2 linked regions of the Rattus norvegicus genome follow. The protein of the gene in region 1 interacts with the protein of each later gene in a biochemical or structural test. Links are inferred from orthologs where the notes say so. Each region holds a gene or a part of one and is shown on either strand. Other genes may lie near its edges.

The links. The genes of interacting proteins can lie anywhere in the genome.
Region 2: the proteins of Nedd4 (region 1) and Pmepa1 form a complex in vitro, tested with the Homo sapiens proteins (2 studies listed by BioGRID, with this or other methods). The link is inferred for Rattus norvegicus from reciprocal best matches to the Homo sapiens genes NEDD4 and PMEPA1.

The regions. Positions count from the first base shown.
Region 1 is NC_086026.1:82,337,180-82,341,949, reverse strand, and holds part of Nedd4 (E3 ubiquitin-protein ligase NEDD4), read right to left. Parts: intron 4,417-4,770; coding exon 4,295-4,416; intron 4,204-4,294; coding exon 4,133-4,203; intron 1,942-4,132; coding exon 1,846-1,941; intron 1,554-1,845; coding exon 1,480-1,553; intron 1,129-1,479; coding exon 1,068-1,128; intron 135-1,067; coding exon 75-134; intron 1-74. UniProt on the Homo sapiens protein: E3 ubiquitin-protein ligase which accepts ubiquitin from an E2 ubiquitin-conjugating enzyme in the form of a thioester and then directly transfers the ubiquitin to targeted substrates. Specifically ubiquitinates 'Lys-63' in target proteins.
Region 2 is NC_086021.1:182,436,520-182,441,289, reverse strand, and holds part of Pmepa1 (protein TMEPAI), read left to right. Parts: intron 1-3,145; coding exon 3,146-3,303; intron 3,304-4,770. UniProt on the Homo sapiens protein: Functions as a negative regulator of TGF-beta signaling and thereby probably plays a role in cell proliferation, differentiation, apoptosis, motility, extracellular matrix production and immunosuppression.

The DNA of each region.
Region 1 (4,770 bases):
AGGACTGAACTCAGGGCCTGCATGACTGCTCAACACTGAACTACATTCCCAAGCACAGCACAAACAGTTGTTACCTCTAGTTCATTTTCATCGAATATCTTGATCAGATCCTGTGGTATCAGTTCAAAAAATCCCTAGAAGGAAAGGAATGTGCCCAAAGCTGGTTAGCAGGCTTGGCACGCTCAAGCATCTTGTGGATGGAACACTCACTCCTACACAGATCTTGCCAGCATACTTTCATGAACAACCCTTCACTGTGATCTTAATGTGGCCGTCCTGTCTTTATTTCTCAAAGTGGCTATGTTAAATCCTCCCTCCTCCCTCTTCATTCCTTCTACACGTACTGAGGAGACTGAGGCAGACAGAAGCCCATCCCCCATCCTGGCCAGGCCCACTGCAGGAGGTGAGCCCCCTCAGCGGGCCTCACCCCTTCTGTTGCTCCCTCCTCCTCCTCTCCTTCACCTACTGAATCCTGTCCTGGCCTGGGACCTGCAGTAATCCTGCCTAAGTCCCCAATCGTGAGTCAACTGCACCTTTGTTAATTTCCTGCGTTTTCCTCGTCAGCCCCACTCAGGACTGAAGACACTCATTCTCACCACAGGCACAGCTACTTGCTCATAGCTCTTTTCTGCTCCTCTAGTCCCCAGCTTAGTCTCACTGTGCCCTCTGTCCCCACTTCCCAGTAAGATTCTAACTGTGCAAGACAGCCAGAGCAGGAAGATTTGCCCAGGAAGATATAGTGAGACTGCCACACAGCACCTGAGCAGAGGTAACCAGCCACGTGGCAGAATAAAGTTCTCTTAAGTTCTAATTCTCCTCAGAGAAGATCCTAACTATAAGGCCAGGGTCCATGTAAATGTATGTAAATGTATGCTGAGTCTGAGTCTTATTTCGGGGTCATGGGGCTGGAAGAATCAGGATCCAACTGACACTCCAGGGAGTCCTCCACAGGCCTCCATGGGCATGCATATGCACAGTATTTGAAAAACATAAAATCAACCTAAAAACACAGCTAAAAAGGGTCTTTGAAGCTCTGGTATGGCAAGCAATGAATGTGGGGTACCCACCTCTTTAAAAGCAGCCATTTGCTTCTGGATTCTGTTCACAAATCGCCACTGGATTACAAGGCTAAAAGGAGAAAAAAATAAATAAAAACATTTCTTTCTGTTTTTTCCCCCATACAAACCATGAAAAATGTTTTCAGATATGTCTATTCCACTGAGAGACAGATAGACTAGCTGTGCCCAAGGCAAAAAAATCGGAAAAGAAACAGGGAGAACTAGGGTGTGCTTTTCTTAAGAAAACTGATTGTGGCTTGGGGGGAGAAGAAAGAGCAAGTAAAGGAAAAATCTTCTGAAGGAGAAGGAAGAGAGAAGAGGGAGAAGGAAGAAGAAGAGGAGAAAGCAGGAAGAAGAGGAGGAAAAGTAGAAAAAACAGCTCAATCATTTCTAGGAAAATACTTAGAAGTAAAGTACTCACTAGATATACTCCTTTTTGTTCTTGTTGGTGACCACAACCTCCGATCCACCAGTTTTCAGCTCGTGTTGATGTGTCTAAATTAAACATGAGTGTTTTCATGAGGAAAATGGGAGAAAACTACATGAATTACACCAGAAGCCTAGTGCTTTGGATTAAATCCATTCAAAAGTTAAAAGCTAAGAAAGCTTAAATATTAGTCACACATCAGTGGCGAGTACAAATGCTGGCTGAGAGACACCTTTTGCCACGAGAAAATAAATGCACAAGCTGAACAGAGAAGTGTCTCAGGTGCACTGGAGTGCACTACACTTAGGTGACAACACTGGCTTTGGAAATGACGTTTATAGAATCTGAAAGTCCACAGACCTGTCCAAAAAGCTCTTCATCTATGATAAATCTCAGGTCCAGCTCCGTCGGGTCATTTTCAAGAATCCATCGCAGAGAACTGTAATATTCACTATCCTAGAAGGAAAAGTGCACTCTAATTAAGTGAGTAAGCAGTGCTAGGAATTGAACTTAGCCTAGAATTCTATCTTCTAGGCATGTACCCTACCACTGAGCTAAAACAGCACTTAAAAAAATCTGTATATAGAAAGGTACATGAACATGCATGACATCTACACTGATGGGCTGGGGAGATGCTCAGTCAAGCATGAGGATCCCCACCGTAACATGAAAAGTTGGGCACAGAGCACACACCTGAATTTCCAGCACTAGGATTGAGAGATTGTATGTGGAATGTCTGAGTTCATTACTGGACGGTACTTAAACGTTAAAATTAAATATACTATTCTAACCAACCCACACAATAACTATGTGCTCTTGTCTTACAGTTTCCAAAGACCCCTGCTGGAGCCGGGGAATGTGGAATGTGGCTCACTTACTGGTGTAGGACTTACTAGCATGTGTAAAACCCTGGGTTTGATTCCTGGAAAGGCATTAACCAGCTGTACCTATACCTATAATCACAGCACCCAGAAGTCATGGCTGGCTACATGATGCGTTTATGGAGGCCAGCCTGTGCTCCATAAGACACTGTCTCAAACAACAAGAAAAAGCACAACAAAGAATCCATGGGGCCTAGAGAGAGACAACTTAGTGGTTAAGAGCTCTGGCTGCAATTGCGGAAGGTTTGATTGCTAGCAGCCACAGCACAGCTTTCTGGCCACTGAGGTACACATACACACATGCAGGCAAAACACTCATACACAAAAAATAAAAATCATATTGTTTGTGATATGGAAGCCATGTGTATTCACACTACACAGGGCCATACACAAGACTTCGTCTTTAGGCTTCTGTTTCCTTTTAGGAGACCCCACAATACCCTGCCTTTGGAGTGGAGGCTTTAAACATTTGCCATTCATTAAAAATAAGTCTAACTCAAACTGTGATGAAAGAGATTATCTGTTTTGTGGCGTCTGGAAAGACTCCTCACTGTTTTGTGAGGTTACCGAGCATGATGACCTGAGTTCAGGTATTGGGACCCACCTGACAGAACAAGAGAAGCAACTACGGCCAACTGTTCTTTGACCTCCACAGGGGTCCCATGTATAAGCAATGCTTCCCTCCCCCAAACAGACAAATGTAATAAAAATAACTAAGTGTAAATTTAGAACATTAGCAGATAGCTGTCGACAGAGAGGGCTCAGTGGGTAAAGGCAGGTACCACCTTACTTAATGAGCAGAATCAGGGGCTGGAGAGATGGCTCAGAGGTTAAGAGCACTATCTGCTCTTCCAGAGGTCCTGAGTTCAATTCCCAGCAACCACATGGTGGCCAACAACCATCTATAATCTGGCGTGCAGGTGCATACATGAAGGCAGAAAATGTATGATGTATACATAATAAATAAATGTTAAAAAAAACGAGCAGGGGGTTGGGGATTTAGCTCAGTGGTAGAGCGCTTGCCTAGGAAGCGCAAGGCCCTGGGTTCGGTCCCCAGCTCCGAAAAAAAGAACCAAAAAAAAAAAACCAAAAAAAAAAAAAAAAAAAAAAAAAAACAACAACAACAACAACAAAAAAAAAAAAAAAAAAAAAAAAAAAACGAGCAGAATCAATCCCTGGAATCCACATGAGGGAAGGAAGCAGAAAACTGATCTCTAAATGTGGGTGCCTATATGCATACACAAAGATATGTAAATGTAAAGGAATTCAGCAGAAGTGACTAATAGCTGCAGTGCATGGCAGACAGATACTGATGGAGGGAGGCACAAGAATAGTCAGTGGTGGATATGGGCCCCGCTCAGTCACTCTCTGCTCTGCCTCGCTGAGACAGGGCTGCTCGCTGATCCTGGAACTGAGCCCAGACACCGTCCAGCCTCTGCTGCCAACAGTGCTGCGGCTTCAGACACTCACAGACACAACCCACTTTCTATGAGGTGCACGATGTAAACCCAGGTCCTGGGACTTTTTAAAAATTTTGTTTGGTGCCCAGCAAATGCTCTTACCCACTGGGCTATCTCCTTAGCCCCTATCTATATTTTGACACATGAAAATTTATTCATTTCTGTTCTTACTATAAATTAATTGGGCTGTGTATGCAGCTTGGTGGTACAGCACACACTCAGCAAGTGCGACCACCACTAAGTCAATTCTGCAAATAACCACTGGCTATTAAATCCTCCAGATTCCGGCGCATGAGAGAGACCTACCACGGACTCCATGTCGTGCAGTGTTATCAGTTTCTGAAGCATCATCTTGTAAAAGGGGCGGATGAAAAACCCTTGTAAGAAACAAAATATTTTTAGGGTGACTATTAACCAAGAAACAACAACAAAAAACATATAAAAAAAAGTCTGCTCCTCAATGCTCACCATCCAACAGCTTGCCATGATAAACCGCCATCCCAGCCACACGGCCAATGAACTTGAAGTATGAGAGGTGATCTTCATTACACAAGCCCGAGTTTGGATTTATCTGCAGAGTGTAATTGTCCCTGTAAGACAAACCACACTCACGTGATCCTCTTGGTATCTCATAGAGCAACAGTCTATGTAGACAAATGGTAATGAAGTCTCCCCTGTGGCTACTTTTCTCTCCTAATACCAGTGACTCTGATAATGGTCTGAAATAGCCACTTCCGTTAAAAGGTGGAAATAGTTCCTAAGAACACATAAACAGATAGACAAACGGCCCCTGTAAAGACAGAGAGAGACTCAGGAAGAGCACTGATGCTTTTATAGATGACCTATGTTGAATTCCCAGCACCCACATTACAATTGGCAGCCATCTTCTGGCCGGAGAGGGTACTGCATGCATGTGGTGTGGGGCATAGACAAGCATGCAGGTG
Region 2 (4,770 bases), on another chromosome or scaffold:
GTCTGTGTCTCCCAAAAATTGATAAGCCGTGGAACCCAGTGGCTAAATTTGTGCGTGAGGAGTCCTCCCTCACTTTGGGGAGCAATTCTATTTTCTGGACACAGGAACCCAGACTTGTCAACCACACACCCTTGCAGGGCCCATTGTCCCCAAGTCCTGTCGCCTTCTGCCAGCCTTGCTGCCTCAGCTCCTGTCTCCCCAGTCTTCCCATGGCCCCAGACCACCCTAGGAGGAGTGTGGCAGCCCATCCAGTCCCTCGGGCCACCAGAGGACAGGAACAAAAGGCCGCCTGCATCTCCCCATTGCTTTCAGGCCTGATGTGGGCCGAAGCCCCAGAGAAAGCCAGAGGGGTGTCTCAGGCCAGGGTGAGGAGCTCACAGAGTTGGGGAGGAGGAGTTGCTGGCCCTTTGGAGAAGTAGGGGCGTTGCACAAAGCAGTCCCTGTGTCCCTTGAATGCACGGCTTTATTGGGTCCCGACAGCCAGACCGGAGTGCCCAGCACATTCAGGTCAAACCATCCAGCCTTGGACCGGCCTCTCCTGGGGAGACAGGAGCATAGCTGCAGTGACCCAGTCTTGGACTTCACCATGGCCCCATGGGCTCTGTGCAGAAGGGTGCCTGAGTCTCCACAAGAAGGGGCCCCTCTTTGAGTCGTGTGTGAGTCTCAACAGAGTCCTCGCAGTTCAACACCCCCACTTGGCTCCTCCAGGGTGAAGGAGGTGAGCCTGACTCAGAAGCACCAAGTATAAACCCGGGCTTGGGTTGGAGCCCTAGTCGTGGGCACTTGGACTTTGTGATACTTCCTTTGTGGTTCTGTTTCTCTTGAGGGGCTTGAGAAAACACTTACGTCAGGAGAAGGGTCAATCTAAGCTTTACCGGACTCACAGGGGTCATTCTGTTGTGGGAGAAGCGTCCTGGGTGCTAAGGTGTCCAGTAGCATAATGGGCCCTGCCTAAGTGTAGTCAGTCATAGCACATGCAGTGGTCCAGTGGTGGGATAGACCTGTGGGGTTCCAGAGACTGGCTGGGGCTGAGGAGTAGCCTGAGACAGAGATGGCAGGGAAAACTCTATGAGCTGCTACCCATCCACACACAGTAAAGTGCCCATCTTGGATGTGTTACCCTGCCCAGAGCAACAAGGAAACCATAGTGGTGGCAGGAGAGAGCTAATCCTGCTTGGGTTTGAGGTTTGGGCCTGTGTTGGCTTCCAACCTCTCCTCAGTTCCTCTCTCTGGTAAACACAGAGCTGAGTCAGCCACTTTGCAACTGAACTTGGTGGCCTCGGGGTCCCTTCCCTCTTGTACAGCAGGGAGTGCTCCCCCAAGGTCTTCCCTCCATGACTGGGGAGGCTCATCCCTGGGCCTCCGCCTCAGGCAGGGCCTTCAGGTTGCCTGCTGTCTCTCTGCTGAATCCAGTGCCCTGCAAGACTCCTGGCACCCTGCCTGTTGCTGGGGGGCTCTACTGGCACCAGCTGCAGCCAGCTGCTAAGCCTCGGCCCATCGGAGTCAGCAAAAGCACCCGCTTAAGCAGTATCAAAATAGCCTTTTCCCTTCCCAGCACCGGAGGGCTTTTCCTCCTTCTAGAGGGGAAATAAAATAAGTCGGAAAACGGGGAGGGGTGTGGAAGGGGCCCAGGGATGGGGCCTCTGAAATAAACGAGAATCCCAACCAGAGCAGCACCAGGAACGTGTCTAAGGCCTTCACTAGAAGGAGCCCATTTGTGTGCTTGTGTGGTGTGTGTTCTTAAATGTTATCTGTGTGGCTAATGGTGTATGTGTGTGTATGTGTGTGAGTGTGTGTATGTGTGTGTGTGTGTGTGTGTGTGTGTGTGTGTGTGAGAGAGAGAGAGAGAGAGAGAGAGAGAGAGAGAGAGAGGAGAGAGAGAGAGAGAGAGACCTTGTGTTTCCTGGGGTGTCTGAGGTGTGTGTGTGTAGCAAGTTTGGCCCATTTTCTGCTATCTTTTTGGGTGTCAGAGTATTGAGGTATTTTGGGGGGCTGCATGTGGGGGTGCTGAGGTGTGTAGGGGTGGTGAGCTGTTTTGAGGAGTGTCAAGACTGTGGAGCATCTGAGATTTAAGAGTGTTGACCCCATCGTGGCCATGTTGGGGCATACAGGATTATAGACCTTACGCTGTTGTTTTAGAGCCCGTAAGAGCGTTGGAAAGTTGATGTAAAGAAGAATATTGGGATACAGGACTATTATTTTGGGGTGTTGGACTGTTGCTTCAGGGTGTTCAGGAGGTTTTCGGCATTAGTGTGTGAGAGTGATGACATAGGAACTTGGCTATTTGGTAGATGAAGAAGGGTTGAGAGCTGAAATATTGGGCTGTTTTTGGGGTGTGTGGAAGGGTTGGGGTGCTGGTGGGGAGTTGGACTATGTAGGAGTATTGAGATAGTCTTTTGGGGAATATACAGGCAGGGTAGGATATTGGTGGCAGGGGATGGGTATGGCTGGTGTGTGTGGGAGAGTTGGGTATGACTGGTGTGTGTGGGAGGGTTGGGTATGGCTGGTGTGTGGGAGGGTTGGGAATGGCTGGTATAGGGGGGAGGGTTGGGAATGGCTGGTATAGGGGGGAGGGTTGGGAATGGCTGGTGTGTGTGGGAGGGGAGGGTTGGGAATGGCTGGTGTAGCGGGGAGGGTTGGGTATGGCTGGTGTGTGGAGGAGGATTCTGTATGGTTGGTGTTGGAGAGGTTGGGGTATGTGGGAGCAGTGGGCTGTTGTTTCGCGGGTGGGAAGGTTGACATATTGCTTGCTGGGATGTGCGAGTATCAGGGCATTGGAGAGCCCTGAACTGGGCTGTAGTATTACATATGCGCACTCATGTGTTGCCTCTGCAGTATGTCCACATCCCACTCCAGCCCCACAGGAGCCCCTCTTCTTCCCACTGTCCCTCTCCAGGCCCCAGAAGTAAAAGGACCCTAGGCACAGGGATTCAAAAACAAGTCCCTTTCTGAGAGCCAGGCCAGGCCTAGCATCTCTGAGGGTCAGACCGAGTCTTCATGAACGTCCATGGTTGGGACCGTGCCGTGTTCCGGACAGAGTCTCTGAGCTGTGTTCTCCCCTGTGCCCGAGTCCTCAGCCTTATGTAGATGGGAGCCTTTGGCTGCTGACCCGAAAGTCTCACGCACGCGCCCCTCTGCCCCACAGCGGAGCTGGAGTTCGTGCAGATCGTGGTCATCGTGGTCGTGATGATGGTGATGGTGGTGATGATCACGTGCCTGCTGAGCCACTACAAGCTGTCAGCCCGCTCCTTCATCAGCCGACACAGCCAGGCCCGGAGGAGAGACGACGGAGGACTGTCCTCGGTAAGCGGGTCCTTGGCCTAGGATTCCGGCTGCTGCGCAGACATGTGCGCAGAACACTCTGACAGACCGCTCACGTCACCACCCCCCATCTGGGCGCTCATGGGAATGGGGATGAGGAAGGGCCCAGAAGCCTGCCGCTTCCTCTAGTCAGAGGAGCAGGAACTGGAGGCGGATAAGGCTCCGTGTGCTCGGAGGTGCAGGAGGCCCAGGAACGCGAAGGTTTGGAGGGAAGCTATGGGTTTGCCCCTCTGAGGGAGAAGTGAGGGTGTGCCTGAGCCTGTGCGCCCAGCACTGCTCCCCAGAAATGGTTCCCAGTGCCTTCCCAGAGGGATCAGGAAGTGTCAGGTATGATTCTGCGGGCTCCCCAGAGGAGCCCCACTGTGTGAGGCGGGGCTGGGTGGGACCTGGCGTGGTCTCCATAGCTGTGGGCAGAGTAGGCACAGCTTTAGGGTGGCAGGTCAGGTCTCCTGAGGCCGTTGAGAAGCCAGATGAGACAGAGTGAAGAGAAGGCAGCTGCTGCTTGACTGGGTGCCCACCAGGACAGAGGTGTGGGAAAGATGCCCCCAGGTCTTAGGGCTGTGACCTAGATGGAAGGAGGTGGCGGTCCCAACCTCTCACCAACACACCACTTGGGCCCGTGTAGTCCAAGTGTCCTGGGAGGCCAGGGAAGCAACCAGACACCGAAGCCTCTCCCACAGCCTGGGCCTCATCTGGTTCCTCAGGTGTGGTGAACCAGCACTGGGCGCCTCCTGGGCAATCCAGGCTTGACATAGTGAGCCAGCCATCTTTGACTGGAAGGCAACCTCATCCATGTGACGCCTCACCCGCTAGCTCTCTGCTGAGCACTCTCTCTGTGCCCAAGCTCCCCTGGCACAAGAGACTGTAGGCAGGACCATCCTAGGACCATCCTAGGACTGGGTGGCAGAAAGTCATACTCAGGCGGGGGCCCCCACGCAGGGGGCTCCCAGCTTTGGGGGAAGCTGTGCATGAGAAGTGCAGGCGAACATTTCTGAGCCTTAGAACTGGAGACCTGACACTCTTAGGAGGGAGGGAGGACCGAAACATAGCCAGCCTTGGGATCAGGGTTCAGTGTCCTGGGGCGGCAAGCATTCCCATGTGTGCCGGTTCCCTTGGTTTTTTTTTTTTTTTTTGTTTGTTTGTTTGGTTTGTTTGTTTGTTTGTTTGTTTGTTTTGGTTCTTTTTTTCGGAGCTGGGGACCGAACCCAGGGCCTTGCGCTTCCTAGGTAAGCGCTCTACCACTGAGCTAAATCCCCAGCCCGCCGGTTCCCTTGTTAACCTGAGTGAGACTGTGTAACTAGTCCTAGCTCATTTATATCCTACCAAGGGCAGTCACCTAGAGTAACTTAATGTACCCAGAGGACTGCTTGATCTCTATGCAAGCAAGCAAGCAAGAGTTACGTGCGCGCGCGCACGCGCGCGCACACACACACACACACACACACACAC